Linked DNA regions of Notamacropus eugenii. The protein of the gene in region 2 purifies or fractionates together with the protein of the main gene of each other region. This does not show direct contact. Links are inferred from orthologs where the notes say so. Each region holds a gene or a part of one and is shown on either strand. Other genes may lie near its edges. The genes, in order: CCNB2 and PKMYT1.

What was found.
Region 1: the proteins of PKMYT1 (region 2) and CCNB2 purify together in Homo sapiens (affinity purification with mass spectrometry; 4 studies listed by BioGRID and IntAct, with this or other methods). This does not show direct contact. The link is inferred for Notamacropus eugenii from reciprocal best matches to the Homo sapiens genes PKMYT1 and CCNB2.

The regions. Positions count from the first base shown.
Region 1 is NC_092872.1:137,179,657-137,188,634, forward strand, and holds the start of CCNB2 (G2/mitotic-specific cyclin-B2), read right to left. Parts: upstream 3,684-8,978; 5' UTR 3,316-3,683; coding exon 3,292-3,315; intron 1-3,291. UniProt on the Homo sapiens protein: Essential for the control of the cell cycle at the G2/M (mitosis) transition.
Region 2 is NC_092872.1:56,510,323-56,518,674, forward strand, and holds the start of PKMYT1 (membrane-associated tyrosine- and threonine-specific cdc2-inhibitory kinase), read right to left. Parts: upstream 3,487-8,352; 5' UTR 3,262-3,486; exon of another isoform or gene 3,185-3,261; intron 2,577-3,184; exon of another isoform or gene 2,420-2,576; intron 1,621-2,419; 5' UTR 1,604-1,620; coding exon 1,253-1,603; intron 1-1,252. UniProt on the Homo sapiens protein: Acts as a negative regulator of entry into mitosis (G2 to M transition) by phosphorylation of the CDK1 kinase specifically when CDK1 is complexed to cyclins. Mediates phosphorylation of CDK1 predominantly on 'Thr-14'. Also involved in Golgi fragmentation.

The DNA.
Region 1 (8,978 bases), about 81 Mb from region 2:
TCTTTTAATTGCCAAATCTAAAGATCTCTTCTTAATCCTGATACTTCTTGATATCTTTGAAGAATTGACACCTCTTTCTTGATACTACCTTCTTTAGGTTTTCCTTGCTTAAAAGGCCTCTTCTTTCTCAGTATCTTGCTGGTTCCTTTCTGAGACTATTATACCCATTAATCATATTATCCCTCAAGGATCTGTCCACGGCCCTTTTTTTACTCTAACCTTTCACACTTGGTGATCTCATCTGACTCCATGGGTTCAGTTATCATCTCTATGCAAATGATATTCATATCAATATATTTAGCCCAAATTTATTTCCTGAGTTTCAGGCAAGCAGAAACTGCCTTTTGGAAATCTTGAATTGTATATCCCACAGAAAAATCAAACTCAACATATCCAAAACAGAACTTATTACTTTAAACTCTCCTTTCTTCCAAACTTCCATATTACCTTTGAGGGCACCACCACCATCAAGCAGATTCCAACCTCAGTATCATCCTTGAGTACTCTCTCACCCCACATATCTCTAACCCACTGCCAAATCTTGTCATTTCTACTTTCTATACTTTCTACAACATCTGCTGTATAGCCACTTCTCTCAACTCTAATAACCACCATCCTGGCTGAGGCTCTCATCACCTCTTGTCTGGATAAATGCAATAACCTTTTGACTGGTTTTCCTACTCAGCTGCTAAAGTGATTTTTTTCTAAGAAACAGGTTGGGCCATGTCATTCCACCTGCAGCTTGGGCTCCAATCAAATATTAAACTCCCTTGTTTGACATTTAAAGCTCTTTATACCATCTCATCTTCCTACTTTTGGAGACCTGTCACACCTTACCCTCCTCCACACACTTTGTTAAAGCCAATTAGCCTATATGTACTTCCTCTAACCAGTCACTCCACCTCTTCTTGTTTCTGGGGCCTTTGAACTTACTAGCTGTCCCATGCCTAGAAGTTGCCCCCTTGCTTAGAAAGTTTTGCCTTCTACTGGGCCTCTCTCAAGATGCAGCTCAACTCCTACCTTTCCCAATTAGTGCTTTCCCTCAGATTATCTTTGACCTAATTTATATTCAACTTGCATGTACCCAGTTATTAAGATGTCTATTCCATCAGGATGTGAGCTCCTTAAGGACAGAGGCATTTATGGCCTTTCTTTGCATTCCCAGTGCACACTTGCAGGCACACAGTAAGTGCTTACTAAAATGACTTACTAAGTAAGTGCTTACATACAGTGCTAGCTGATTATCTCCTCTCCTCCCCCATCTCTAGCAGACTGTCCTTGCTATCATCCTTCCTTTCTCTCTAACATTCAATCTCTCCTTAGATTTCTTCTTTGACACTGCAGACTTGTTCCTTCCCTCCTAGACCAATACCTTCCCAAACAAGACCTGGATTTTCCTGAATCTATGCCTCAAATCCCAGGAAAACTGAATCCTTCATCTTTAGAGCTCCTGCCTTAGACCCCAAAGAAGCTGACTAGTGACTGAGTACATGGAAACTGGTCCACTTAATCTACTATATCTAGGAGAGCCAACAGATACTGGATCATGCAACAGCTTCAAATCCTGTATGCTATCCACTCAGGATGTCTCACAATCTTCCCGTTTACATTTACTGTCTCCATGTTTTCCTAAGTCTATGTATCCAGCCTGTCTCTTTTAGAAGGTCCAATCCCACATCATCAACTGCAATATTGGACTTTTCAAACTAGATGTCTCCTAGGCATCTCCAAGTCAAAATATTTCCCTCAAATCCTACCCCTTTCAAACTTTCCTGTTACTGTCAAAAGTACCACAATCCTTTCAGTCATTCATGTTGACAAATTCAGTTACCTTTGACTCCTCTCACTCACCACACATAGTTAATCAGTTGCTAAAGTTTGTCATTCTTCTTCCACATCTCTTATATTTGTTCCTTTACCTCTACTCCCTCAACAACCACCTTAGTTCAGGCCTTCATCCTATTTAGTGGACTACTGAAATAGCCTCTTAATTCATCTCCCTACCTTACTCCATCCCACCGTCTATAAAGCTGCCAGAGTGATTTTCCTAAAGAATCAATAGTTCACTCACCAACCAGTCTATAAGTATTTATTTATCTACTCAGTGCTTGGCACACTATATTATGAGCTGGGTGGATAAAAAAAGGGCAAAACCACAGTTCATGACCTCAAGGAGCTCCTTGAGGTCTTCCTCATCCAGCTACTAGTCATCCAAACTCACTCAGCACCATTCCAATAAAGGGGAAAGAGAAGAAGCATTTAATACGAGCCAGGCACTTAATTTAATATGTGCTAGGCACTACACTAAGCACTTTATAAATAATATCTTATTGGATTCTCACTACAACCTTGATAGATGCTAGTATCACTCCCCATTTCACAGCTGAGAAAGCTGAGGAAGAGAAAAGAGAAGTGATTTACACAGGTCTGAGGCTGGATTTGAACTCAGATCTTTCTGGCTTTGGGGCCCAGTACTCCAAGACGGTGACAATACATGCAAAAATAAAAATAAAAAATGAGTATACAAAGTAAATGGAAAGTGCTATGGGAAGCTCAGCCCCAGGGACTAACGCAGTACAGTTCTTGAGAGACGGCAAAGACGAGGAGCTGGGCAGTAGAGTACAAGCAGAAGGGTAAAGTCTGGGAAGACTGGGAAGGTGGGAAGGGACCCAGGTGTGAAGAGCTTGGAATGCCAAATCCCACTGGATCCCGAGGTACTGGGGAGCCGCTGAAGTTTACTGAGCAGGGGAGTGACGTGCTGAGTCTTCTGCTTGTGCACTCAACGAAGGATGGATAGGAGGGGGAGACTGTGGCAGGAAGACCCCCCCCAACAGGCTGCTGCAATCGTCCCGGTACGGGGTGGTGACACAGTCAGAGCCTGGGGATGGCTCAGTCAGAGGCGCAGGGGTCTGGCCCCGGGAGCGGAGAGGGAGGGGGATCTACCACAGGATTCCGCGCCCGGACTCTAAATCCAGCCAGAGAACGCGATGGGCCGAAGAGAGAGGGCCTGACCACGAGAAACCTAGAGCACAAGGCCCCGGGGCTCTCAGCGGAAGAGCTGGGGTTCGAGCCCCGATCCTCCGCACAAAAAGACGGCGCCGCCTCTGGGGGAGGGCGGACGGGGGACTTGGGGATCAAGACCTGGGAGAGGCCCTACGTCACCAACTTCCTTCCCTCCTCCCTCCCCAGCCGCCGCCCCGAAGGGACCGTACGAGGAGGCGACGGCCGAGGCCTCGGGGCGACCCCGCCGGGGGAAGGGGCGAGGACGCGGCCACCACGCCGCAGACTCACCGCGGGGCGTCGGAACAGCGCCATGGGGCCCGGGCCGGGCCGGAGCAGGGGCCGCGGGGAACTGGCGAGACACACAGAAGCAACACGAACCGCCGCACAACGCGGTCCCAAGATCACGCCGCGGCCGCCGCCTCTCAGCCCTACGGCCGGAATTCAAACCGCACCACTCGCCCTCCCATTGGCCCTTCCGCCAGGAGACCCGCTCTTCTCATTGGCCGGACCGATCAGACGCCCCCCCCCCCCTCCCGCTACGCGTTGATTGGCTGTTTCCGAGGACCCGTTGGGTTGTCATAGCAATTGGGGATTGTTTTTCCTGGATATAGATATATAGATATATGTACATATATATGATATATACATAATACATATCATACATATGAAGATTTTCCGAGTAAAAAAAGTTTTGTAAATTAAAAAGTGGCCAAGAGGAAACAGAAACCAAACGGAACTGAACCAAAGGACGGAAATGGAAAACTGGAAAGCTTCCCACCCCTCGTATAAACCCGGGCCTGATGTTATCTCGCGATGGTTCTTACCGGATGGGGCGGGAGCTAGAACCGCGGAGGCTTCTGGGAGTTTCATTTCCTTCTTCCGTGTCCTGAGCCGGAAATCGGAGTTTCTAGTTTGCGGTCTTCTTGCCGACGCTGTTTGGCTTCTTTGTGCTAGCGTTGGAAATGACGCGCTGTGGCCCCTTGTTCGTCAGCTTCCCCTGGGAAGGAAGACGCGGGGGGGAGCCTCCCTGTGCCCCCCCGACATCCCAGCACATGCCCACCCACTTCCGTTCCGTGACTTCCCTGCTCCCTTACAATAATCAGAACTTTAAAACTCCTTGGGGGCGCCTTTCCTGCTAAAGAAAGAAAAGGCACCCAGGCCCGAGAAGGGATGCGGGGGGATGGGAAGGGCTCCCCCTCCGTGGGGCTTGGGGCGGGGGCCAGGCCCTGCAAGTCCGCTCGCGTTGACGGACCGTCTGCGAAGTGCCAGGCACCCGCAGGTGGCAGATGAAACGAGCAGACGTGGGAAGGCTCCTGCCCTCCCGCCGCGGGCGCCCCTTCCCTGCTCGGCAGCGGCGGCGCGCCCCAGTGCCCAGCCCTGGGGAAGTAGGAACGTGTAAGGCACGTGTTCGGAAGGCCATCTCTCCGGAGCTGCCTTAGCCCACAGCGCAGCTGCGCCCACCCACGAGGCCGAGAGGGCCCGAAGGAGACTGCGGCGGCCCCAGCCGGTGCCCGCCGGGCATCCCCGGAGCCAGGCAGGCTCTTGCCCTGGGCTTAATGGCATCCGGTGTGTGTGCCTTCTCTAAAACAGAACTATGCGGGAATACGACCAACATCGACGGGTCCAGCTGCGTGTCAGCCAGGACACCCAAGCCCCGATCCTTCGTCCAGCCTCTTGGTCTTGGCCCCTGTTCTCCAAGACTGGAGCGAGACCGCCAGATGTTTGTGCGGAAGTCCTGATTTCGGCTGGTAACCACGGGCCGTGTGCCAAGGAGAGGAGAAACTGAGAGAAATTCGGGATTTTTAGGGAACCCGTGGAGTACAATAAGAAGACTCAGGAGGAGCGGGGGTGGCCAGAATATCAAGGCGTCAAGGTAGATGGGAATGGGAAGTATGGGCATAGGCACAGGGACGTAGGTTTTTCTTTATTTTTCTGATGCGTTCAGGCCTCTCCATTGGGGCTTTTAAAAAATGGTAGATATTTAGAGTTTACAGATGGAATGAGTGTGTCCTGGAGACAGCTAGGTTTCCCTTCACGCGAGATGAAGGAAAGTGGGTTGAGAGATCCAGGAAAAACGATTCTGGAAAATTATTTGGAATTATACAAGAAAAAGTAACTTTGAGCCAGCAATACACTACAAGAATGCCAAAGGAAAATTTATATGTATATATATTTATATTTATAGAGAAACTTTTATTTATATAAATATATTTATAGAAAATAATATTTATAGAAAAATGTTTTGAGGAAGCAGAGAACTGGAAGCAGAATTTGGGAGTGGCTGAGTAAATTGTTTTATGTGAACTCAATAGAATATTGTATGACCTCGACAACAGGATCATTCTGACGTATGAACTATTGTAAAACAAAGCAAATCAAGAGAACAAATTACAAAAACGTCACCATAATGGTAAAGGAAAATGACTGATTGACGTAATAACTGATCACTGCAGTGACTAATTATCACTTGAATTGTTGATGAAGTATGCCTTCCTCTCAGCAGAGAGGTGATGGACTATAAGAATGGAATGCAGACTTTTTTGATAGACATGAGCAATATGTTGATTTGTTTTGCTTAACTGTAATTCTTTGTGACAAGGGAAATTTCTATTGGGGTCAAAAGAAGTCACTGGAAAATGATGATGATACATCTAAAAAAAGAGCTTCAGTAAAATGATTTTAAACAAAAGAGATCCAGAATAAAGGGGAGCTTGTTTAGCAAAAGAGAAGGGGTTCTGTTCTGGAGAATATAAAGGAATGGTGAAGCAGAAGAGAATATGAACAATGGAGGACTGAGGTGAACAGAAATGAGAGTATGAGGAGAGTCAGGAGAGGGAAGAAAGTGGGGGGACAGCTTTAACAGGGCTTGACTCTGAATCATAGGAATCAGGGGAGCAAAGGTAAGCAAATTGCCTGCCACTTCATAGAAATGAGCAGTTCCTCACAGGTACAACTCTTTATCTGAATCATCGCACGCACACGCGCACACACACACACACACACACACACACGCATGCATGCACACACACCCTGCCTTTACTCTGTGCCAAGACTCTGATCTGACTCAGAGTCCCCTTTACAGCAAGCCATTTACTGCCTCACCGCACTGAATGCTGCGGTCTGACTTTTCAGTGCCCTGCCTGAGAAAATGGGGAAGGATGGCTAACATGTCAGGTCAATGTACAAAGATCACTTTGAACTGGATCCAAGATGACATCATTTAGTGTAGATCCAGTCTTACACTTAGGCTTTTCCAAGTATAAAGATGGGGTGGGGTGAATAGGCAGTTCTTCAGAATCTGGGAGACTTTAGAGGAAGAGATCTATTTAAGTCAGTCATGTATATGGAAGCCTAAAAATCTGTTGCCAGCTTAAGTGACAATAAAAGATACTGTTTTTCAGCACTATATAAATGTCAGCTATCACTGTGTTTGCCATAAAAAGATATCATGGGCTCTAGTTCAAGATAAGATCTAAATGGGTACATGATTTAGACATAATGGATGATGCCATAAGCAAATTAGAAGCACAAGGAATGATTTACCTGTCAGATCCATGGAGAAAGGAAGAATTTCTGAGCAAACAAGAAAGAAAGAACATTATCAAATGCAAAATGGATAATTTTGATTACATTAAGTCAAAAAGGTTTTACACAAACAAAACCAATACAACCAAAATTAGAAGGAAAGCAGAAATCTGGGAAATAATTTTTATAGGTAGCATTTCTCATAAAGGCCTCATTTCTTAAATATATGGAGAACTGAGTCAAATTTATAAGAATACAAGTCATCCCCCAATTGATAAATGGTCAAAGGATATGACCATGCAGTTTTCAGATGAAGAAATTAAAACTATCTATAGTCATATGAAAAAATGCTCTACATCACTATTGATTAGAGAAATGAAAATTAAAACAACTCTGAGATACCACATTACACCTATCAGATTGGCTAATATGACAAGGCAAATGATAAATGTTGGAGATGTGGGAAAATTGGGACACATGCATTGTTGGTGGAATTGTGAACTGATTCAACTCTGGAGAGCAATTAGGAACTATGCCCAAAGATCTATAAAACTGTATATACCCTTTGATTTAGCAATATCACTACTAGGTCTGTATCCCAAGGAGATTATAAAAAAGGGAAAAGGACCTATATGTACTACAAAAATATTTATAGTGGTTCTTTTTGGGGTGGCAAAGAATTGGAAATTGAGAGGATGCCCATCAGCTGGAGAATGGCTGAACAACTTGTGGTATATGAATGTAATGAAAGGAAAGGAAAGGAAATGATGAGCAGGAAGAATTATATGAAGGGATATGAATGAGTGAATATGAATATATGAATATGAAAATATGAATGAGTGAAGAGAGCAGAACCAGGAGAACACTGTACACAGTAACAGCCACAGTGTGCATTGACTGACTTTGATAGACTTAGCCTTTCTCAGCAATGCAAGGACCTAAAAAAATTCCAAAGGACTCATGATGGCAAATGCCGAGTCTGAATGCAGAGCAAGGCAGATTACTTTCTTTTCTTTTTTTGCTTTTTTTTCTTTCTCATGGTTCCTCCTATTTGTTCTAATTCTTCTGTACCACATGACTAATGTGAAAATATGTTTAATAGGAATGTCTATGTAGCACCTATATCAGACTGTATGCTGTCTTGGGGAGGGAAGGACAGAAGGAAGGAGGAGAAAATTTAAAACTTATGGAAGTGAATATTGAAAACTAAAAATAAATAAATTAACTTTAAAAAATAAAAATAAATGAGCAGGCAGGCTTCAGAAAAACCTGGAAAGACTTGCATGAACTGATGCTGAGTGAAGTTAGAAGAACCAGAACACTGTAACACACACAGTAACAGCAGCACTGTGTGATGACCAACTTTGTTAAACTAAGCTCTTCTCAGCAATACAATGATCCAAGACACTTGCGAAAGACTTGTGATGGAAAATGCTAACTACATCCAGAGAAAAAACTATGGACTCTGAATGCTGATCAAAGCGCACTATTTACGCTTTTTTCTTTGTGGTTTTTTCTCTTTTGTTCTGATTCTTCTTTCACAAGATGACCAATGTGTAAATGTTTAACATGATTGTATATGTATAACATATCAGATTGCTTGCTCTTTTGGGTAGCAGGGAGGGAGAAAATTTTGGAACTCAAAATTTTAGAAAAATGAATGTTGAAAAGTATCTTTACATGTAATTGGAAAAAATACTATTAAGGAAAAAAACATATATTGGGGGAAAAGAAAAAAGAAAATAAATGATGATTTGGGGCAAGCCCTTAAGAGTTCGGTCACAGATGCTTGTATAGTGTCTCAAAGATGAGTCACATCAGCTCTTTTTTTTTTTAAAGAGCAGGTTGAAAAGCAGGTGACTTTAAAAGAAAAAGGAAACAAAGTTATTAGGGTTTTGTAAGTATAGTTGAATTCAGAAAGGGACACAAAGCAAATTTTTTGTTACTTTTCACTAGCCTTTTTTATAACAGAGTTTATAAGAACTTTATCAGACTAAGATGTAAATGGATTAATGGGTCAACTTTGGGGAGTTTGTAGAACGTTGACTTCATGGTTATCTTGAATATTCAGTTGGGGGTGAAAAACCCTTTTATTCTAGATCTTTGAATTAATTCCATGTTAAGAATACTCTCAAGGGATCCTTTTCCAGAGAGATTCTAAAGAAGGTGGAAAGGACATTTCTGGGTGGCAGTGGAAGTCATTTGTCCCTTTGAAAGAGCCTCTTCTAGCTGATTTGAACATTTTTTCATTCATTGGTGCCAGATTTGTAAGCACATTTGTAAGGGTCATGTTTGTCTGTAGGGTGGGGGACCAGGAGGAGAGTGGTGGCACAGAGAAAAGAAACCTTATTTCTAAGTTCCCTTTCAGCAATGCTTCCAGATTTGCCTTTTTCTGCTATGCAAGAAAGTTGATACTGTGTTACTTATAGGAATGAGGGGTTGGTCCAGAA
Region 2 (8,352 bases):
GAAGTGAGGCTGATGACCCGCACAGCCCTCCCTTACTCAAAACAAAGTCAAGTGCAAGTCATGTCATTATTTCTCTGATGGTAAGGTCTTTTTGGGCAAAGAAGGACGAACACACACACACACAAAGGTCAAGGAAGTAAACTAAAATGATTACCTAGTAATATGAACAGAACAAAACAAGCCACCCTTATCATCTGAAGACTTACTGACTGGTTAAGAATAAATCTGGCATTGAGGAATGGTCCAATAAGTTCAATTCTTTAAGCCTAGATGAGTGACTCTGAAAACCAATTTTGTGGATTTTCTGAGACTGAACTCCCCATTTGGGGACTATGAAGAAGCAAACACTCCAGAAGAGAGTATCATGACCAAATTAGGAATATATAAACAGAACAATTTAGAGGTAAGCTAACTATCACAAAGTTAGGACAAGATTGCTGTCTTTTAGTTCAGGGCTACTTCCTCCAAGAAGCCTTCCTTATCCTTAGTTATTAGTACTCTCCCTCCTTGAATATTCCTATTTTGTCTCATTTCTCCTTTGCCCCTTTCACTCCCTATCATATTTTACTTAACTGTGTACATGTCATATCACCCTAGTAAAATGTCAGATCTTTGACGACAGAAACTGTTTGTTTTTTAATCTTTAAATCTTCAGTGCCTAGCACATTACTTTGCATACAGTATGTGTTTAATAAATGAAGTTAATTCCATATACTTCTAAGCATATTATTTCTGAATTTGAATGTTTACTTGTCCTTCTGAAATAAACCTTTAAAAAATGTGATTCTGTGTTTTGATATATGCGGAAACAGGGGAGAGAAGGGAAAAAAGGAAGTATGTGTCAGAAATGGGCACCAAAATATGGTATCAGCAGAACATCAGTAGAAGGGGAAGTGGTTTGGGGACTCTGTGTATGTAGTAGATTTTTAAATTTCCAGAGCCAAACAGGGGAAGGGATTAGGAAGTTCCAGAAACTCAGGACTAAGTTTCAATTGGAGTTGGGTCATTAGAAAATTTTTGAACATAGTAAAAGGAAAAAGCTCTGGATACAAAATCAAGAACAGTGTATCAATTTCATTTGAAAAAGCTATTTCCAAGCAGAAGACTTTGAGACCTGCAACACAAGGCTAGAACCTTTATTAGGAGATGGGGCTCTAAGTAGAGACATAACTGGCTTCCTTGAAAGAACTGATCAGAAGAAAAGAGGTGGAATTTAATTATGGGACCAAGGAATCCCCATCTCTCCACTCACCTTGAAGACTTCCCCAAAGGAACCCCGTCCCAATCGCCCAAGTCTCTGGAAACTCTGCTGAAAGAAAGACTCAGGCCGGTCTGGGTCATAGCCACGGCTCTGCAATGCTCCTGGGGGCCCACCTCGAAATGAAACTCCTCTGGGTCTGGGCTGGCTCCAGCCTGGAGTTCTAGGGGGAAAGAAGCGACTAACAGAACCACTCCCTTTGGCAGGAGGCCGTGGTGGTAGGCTTCTGTTCAGGCCCCCAGGCCTCTTAAGAGAGAAGCCAGGCTCAGCATGACGAAAGTAGGCAGGAACAGGCACAGGAGTACCACTGAGGGGTGGAGGGGTCCCTTCTGTTGGGACTGGCATGACCAGCAAAGGAGACCCTACAAAACAAAGGAAGTCAGTAACTACTAAGAGTAGGTTAAATTGTCATAAGAAATAGCTCACAAATGACAAAACTTCAGTCTTCTCATTGTTTATAGAATTAGGATTAAATTATTTTAGCCCTCAACACTTTCCACAATCTGGCACCAACTTACATTTCCAGTCATTTCTCATTATATAACCCTTCTGGCATTCTACATTCCTGGACTATTCATCATTCTTCAATATTATTATATTCAATATATTCTCCTCAGCCCATGCTGCCCTCAATCCCTCAGAATGCAACCTCTACACATCTCTACATGTGGAAATTCTTCCATTCTTTCAAGACCCAACTCAAGCGGTCCTTTTCTTCATGATAATTTCCCCCATCTCCCAGCTAGAAATGATTGCAACCTACCCTAAATCTCTCCTGTCATTCTATCTGACCCCTCCTATCCACTTAATCACATTCCAACATATAGATATCTGTGTATGTGTCTTATCCCCTGACCAGATTGCAAGCTTCTGTTGGAATGTGTCAGCCACCTTTTTTGTATCCCCAAGGACAAGGACCAATTTTTGAACATAGTAACTACTTGGAGTAAATGTTTTGCTAAATTGAAAGCAAGCAGAAGGCCTGGATCACAGGACAGGGCAGCTTGCATTGAAGAAAGAAATCCTCCCAGAACACACAGGCACAACAAAATAAGCCCAAACAGCACAGGATAACCCTCAGTTAGGCCTGCTCAGAACGGCTTCAGAACCAGTCACTCCCTCCTCTCCTCTAGGAATTACAAGTCCCAGCTCCCTGGCTACCATGTCAAAGGAGCCGGACTCCACCACACTCCTCCTGTGTCCCTTCTAGACCTTGGACATCCTGGCAAACCAAATGCTACACACGTCCAGCCAAAAGGAGGTGGCTACAGGGGACACATTCCTCAGAAAACAACAAGAGTTCACAAAACGGGCCGGGTTTGGTGCATCGGCTGCCGGGGCGGGAGGCGGGAATGCCCGTCATTCGGGGGCCCAGGGTTACTACTGGAAAGGAGTGCGGGGGCCAGGGAAGCTGCTACTGGAAACGAGGAGACTGAGTTTCGGGGTCCACGAAGGAGGAGAGTGAGAACGGAAGGGAACAGGGTGCCTGTTACCCAGGGTGGGAAAAAGGGGCTCGGGTCAAGGAAAGATCCTGGAAGGGGAAGGGCGGCCAGAGGAGGAGGAAGCAGGAGGAGGGAGGAGTGTGGGGAGGGGAGGGTAAGACCAAGGGATGGTCCGTCAGGGAGTGAAGGGCAGGGCAGGGGCCGAGTAGGAGGAGAAGGGGAGAGGCTGTCGGGCCAGGGAAGGGTTGGGGGCCCCCGAAGGAGGGCTGCTCAAGAGAGGGAAGGGAAGAGGAGGGGCCGAGGGAGGAAGAGCAGCCAGGGAGGGGCGGGGCCGGGAGACTGGGGGACGAAGAGCGATCTAGGAGGGGAAGGGGCTTGGGGGGCGGGGCAGAGGGAAGACCGGATGGCCAGGGTTGTCAGCGAGGGGACTAGGCTCTGAAGGAGGGGCTGAGGGCGGGCTCTGAGAGGGGCGAGCCCGCGGTACCTGGAGCTCGGGAGGCCAGGGCTGGGGCTGTTACCGAAGGTCAGGGGTCTCCTCAGGGTCAGGGGTCAGACGCTCACCACCAGGTGGGGCTCGGGCTCCTGCTCCGGGTGCCCCGGATGAGCCGGTTCGGCACGGGGCCAGCCTTCAGGGTCCCGCGCAGTGGGGGAGGGAGGAGGGACAAGGCAGGGGAGGGGAGGGTCCAGACGTCGGCCGGTTCCAAAGACTCCAGCGCGCGGAGGGGTCGGTGGAACTGGAAGGGTCCCATGCGCGCGCGCGGCGCCTTCTCGCGCCAAAAATTCCAAATGAGTCTCGTGGGCTCCGCCCAGGAATGCCTTTAGCCCCGCCTCCTCATGATGGATTCACCAATAAGTGGCGCCGCTTCTAGCCCGTCCCCATCACGTATCTCCACACGTAGCCGGGTGAGGCGCTAGGCCCCGCCTACTCGCTCCCTGGGCGACGTCAGTGAAGCCGCGGGGCGGGCCTTCCAGCTGAGAAGCCCCGCCCCTCCCGGCCCCACCCACCGTGGAACCAGCTCCGCAGGTACTTGGCTGGACGCTGCACGTGGCTGTCCCGCAGCCTCCCTCTCCCGGGCGAGAACTCCCGAAAGTCTGAGCCGGAAGGAATCCTGGGATGTAAAAGCTTGCTATCCAGTCCAGTCCACACGGGAAAGAGAATCTCCACAGAACCTGAGCAGTGGTCATCCGGGCTGTACTTGAAGACCTAGGATGAAGGGGAGCCAGCTGTATCCCGAGGGGAACATCTCTGTAAGCATTAAGAAGTTTGACCTGACATCAAGCTTGAATCTGGCTCTTTGCACCTTCCATCCCATTGTTCCCAGTCCCACCCTCCTGGCCAGAGGCAGCTAGGTAGGCCAGTGGATGGAGTTGGAGGAACATTCATCTTCCCGAGGTCAAGTCCGGCCTCAGACACTTACTAGCCGTGTGACCTTGGGCAAGTCACTTAACCTCTGTTTGCCTCGGTTCCCTCATCTGTAAAATGGGGACAATAATATCACCTCCCTCCCAGTAATATTTGTAAACCACTTAACTAGAGGCCTGGCATACTGTAAATGCCCTTCTAGGACCAAACAATATATCTAATCTCTGTCTTCCACATGGCAGCCTTCAAATACTTGAACACATGTATCCTTTTCTCCTGGAATTCTTCTCCAGGCTTGACATTCCTAATTCCTTCAACCAGTCTTCATAGGGCGTTGTTTCAGGCTCTGCATAGTCCCAGTGGCCCTCCTCTGGATACTTTTCAGTTTATCAATGATCTGTAATCGGTTATCTTAATGATCTAAGCCAACCGACCTCATTTTGGGAATGGGGACATTCATACTTAAAGAAGGGTCACACAGGAAGAAATGCAAAAAGATCCAGAGATGTCAATGGGACAATCAGTGATGGTAGGCTGCATTGAAAAGGAAAGACAAAGGACTTCTCTGTGGCACCCCAAGATAGGTCGGTCATTACCTGTCCTTCGCCTCTGTCTTGTCTCCTCTCGTGCCCAAGAATCACAGAAGCTCAGAATTAGAAGAGACCTCAAAAGTCATCTAATCAAACTTATGTCCAGATGACCATGCCTTCTGCAATATAACAAGCAAAAGCAGTCATCTGACCTGGCACAGTGTGTATAAAATGGGTTTAGAGTATGAGGAAGTAAGGCTTCAAATCTATCACCTCAGCTAACACTGTGTCATCATGAGCAAATTATTTACCTTTTCTAAGTACAAGTTTTCAATCTGTGAAAGGATTTAATCATGCTTGCAGTACTCACTGGGTTACTGTGAAGCTCAAATGAAATTGTATATGTGTGTATACATACATACATGCGTATGTACACACACATGTAATTTGTATACTTTAAAGATACTGTAATTGTTGAGTTGCTTTTCATTCTTGTTTGACTTCATGACCCCATTTGGGGCTTTTACGGCAAAGATAGTGGAGTGGTTTGCCATTTCCTTCTCCAGCTCATTTTACAGATGAAGAAACTGAGGCAAGCAGGGTTAAGTGACTTGCCCACAGTCGCACAGCTACTAAGGCCAGATTTTCAACTCAGGAAGCTATCTGGACTCCAGACCTTGATACTATATCCGCTTCATCACCTAGCTGCCCCAATGATATTATAAAGGGTATCCCCAAAAGTCCTCATGCAGCTTTAAGTAATTAAAGCTTTAATAGCTTATTAATTATTATTATCCAGACTCTCCTTGAAGACTTCCAGAGAGGGGGACTCCTTACTCCTCCACCCACCCTAAGGCACCCTATTTCCCATTTTGTGTAGGTTTAATTGTTAAGAAGTTTTTTTAATACCAAACTTAAATCTTCCACTCTTCAACCTCCACCCTATTGCTCCTATTTCTGCCCTTCATGTTCATATAGTTCCTGGATTTTTCTTGTCAGGTAGACTTCCAAATATTTTATATTGTCTACAGTTATTTAAATGGAATTTCTCCATCTCTTGCTGCTGGGTCATGTTGGTAATATATAGAAATGCCAGTGATTTATTTGGGTATATTTTATATCATGCAATTTTGCTAAAGTTGTTAATTATTTCAAGTAGTTTTTTAATTGATTCTCTAGGATTCTCTAAGTACACTATCATATCATCTGCAAAGAGTGCAAAGAGTGATAGCTTTGTTTCCTCATTGCCTATTTTAATTCTTTCAATTTATTTTCCTTACCTTATTGCTAAAGCTAACATTTCTAATACAATTATTGAATAACAGTGGTGATAATGGATATCCTTGTTTCACTCCTCATCTTATTGGAAATACTTCTAGCTTATCCTCATTATGTATAATGCTTGCTGCTGATGGTTTGAGATGGATGCTAATCATTTTAAGGAAAACTCCATTTATTCCTGTGCTCTCTAGTGTTTTTAATAGGAGTGGGTGCTGTTTTTTGTCAAAAGCTTTTTCTGGCATCGATTGAGATAATCATGTGATTTCTCTTAATTGTGGTATTGATATGGTCAGTTATTCTCATAGTTTTCCTAATATTGAGCCAGTCCTGCATTCCTGGCATAAATCCCACCTGGTCATAGTGTATTTATTTCTGCCCTCTGGAGCCAAGTAGAAGTCTAATCTTTGATCCCCATGAATGCCCTTTAAGTACTGGTATCTTTCATTAACAGGAAGAACTGAAAGTGACCTGGGGTTACATCTAGTCCAACTTGTACCCCAAAAAGTTTCCTCTACAAAATAAGCCAGCTAAGCTTGTTTTCTTCAACTAGCTTCATGTGTCATGGTTTCTATTCTCATCATCATTCTAGTCATCTTTCTCCAGCTTGTCAATTGCCCTTTGGGATGTTATCAATATTTACAAGGTTCGATCTTTCCTTCCACTTCCCCAGTTCTTCCCCTTACCTTCAGAACTGTGCACTACAGAAGCAGAATGAGAATATAGTGACTTGTCACCTGAAATGAGCCACTTCTAAAAGACAAATTGCTTAGTAAGAAAGCCATGAAGAACTATAAGGACAGTCACAGCAGAGTACCAATGAAACAACTTGAGAGGGACTTATCTTGAGTGGTAGCAGACTCTCTCTAGAGCCTAAGAACTTTGGAGAGAGACCTGCTGAAGCCGAGTCAAATAAGTAAATTGGTCACCGAGGGCCAAGTAATGACAACAGCCTGGGAAGCTCTATTGACGGGGTGGCATGCCTGCATCTTGAGTTTGTGATTGCTGGCGATGGAAGCTGAAGCAGATTTTGCTGAGCTGATTCGGTTCATCTTCCCCTTCAGACTTTTACTGTGAACAGGGAAAATTCAAACTATTAATGGGTTACAGCACAGGAGTTACTAAAGAAATGGTATGCTTTTTATTGGGGAAATGGAGCAGCTATCTGGGAAATCTCATTACTGTATTTTATCTTTCAGTAAATATACTTAAACTATAATTTGAGTATTTTTTGTCTTTGGATCACACAAAGAGATAAAATTAGTAATGGGAAACAAGACATGAGCTAAATTTGGAGATTTTCCCAAAGCTTAAACATCTGAGTAGGGGTAAAATACAAGCTGAAGTTCTAAAATAGACTTTTGAAACATTATGTACACATAGTTTTGCATCATTAAGCCCTCAACCAAATTGAAAGGAACCTAGGCCAAGGAAGAAGGGCATGTGGCTCTGTATTACATAAAGAGGAGGAAGCCTACTATATCTGACAGTTCTTTTCATATGTGGGGATTAGACATGTTTCAGCACCCCCTTTATAGGTGGAGTACTCTCTACCCTACCTACCTTTACACATCTGTATCAAAACCCTCATTTCTCTAAATTGTGATGCCTGGAACTGAACACAACATTTTACAGTTTGATCAAGATAGAATACAAAGAGATTATTGTCTCCCTACCTCTGAACACTACAATTCTAAATAAGTCTAGGATTGCATCAGATCTTTGATAGACCCCACTTTGAGACTTGCCTCAGAAACTTACTAGGTGTGTGACATGTCACTCAACCTCTCTTGTCTCAGTTTTCTCATCTGTAAAATGATTATTATAAAAGCACCTACCTCTAAGGGTTGTTGTGAGGATCAAATAAGATAATGAGTGTAAAGGGCTTTACAAACTTTTAAAACAACATATAAATGCCAGGTGTTCTTCTTGGGGTAGTTAGGTGGCACAGTGGACAGAGCATCAGGCCTGGAGTCAGTTGAAATCTGGCTTCAGACACTCACTAGCTATGTGACCCTGGGCAAATCACATAATCCTGTTTGCTTCAGTTTGCTCATCTGTAAAATGAGCCAGAGAAGGAAATAGAAAACCATTCTGATATCTTTGCCAAGAAAATCCAAATGGCATACATGACTGAACAACAGGAAAAAGTCATTTTCATCATCATAACATTGAGCTTGCAGTTCACAACAACTTTCAGAGCACAGACTTGTTTCTATCCATATCTCTTCCATCCTGTCCTTGTGAACCTTTTAGAAGTAAAGTGCAAACCTTATGTTACCCGTTCTAAATGTCATCAGTCCAACATTTTAGCCTGTTGAAATCTTTGTGAATACTGATACTTATCTAGTATGTTAGCAGTTCTTGTCAGTTTCATGTCATTTGCAAATTTAATAAGCATTCAATTTTTTCCTTCATCTGAGTTATTTGTTGAAACAAACTGTTAAGACTGCACAGGGCCAAGGGCTGATTTTAGGGACA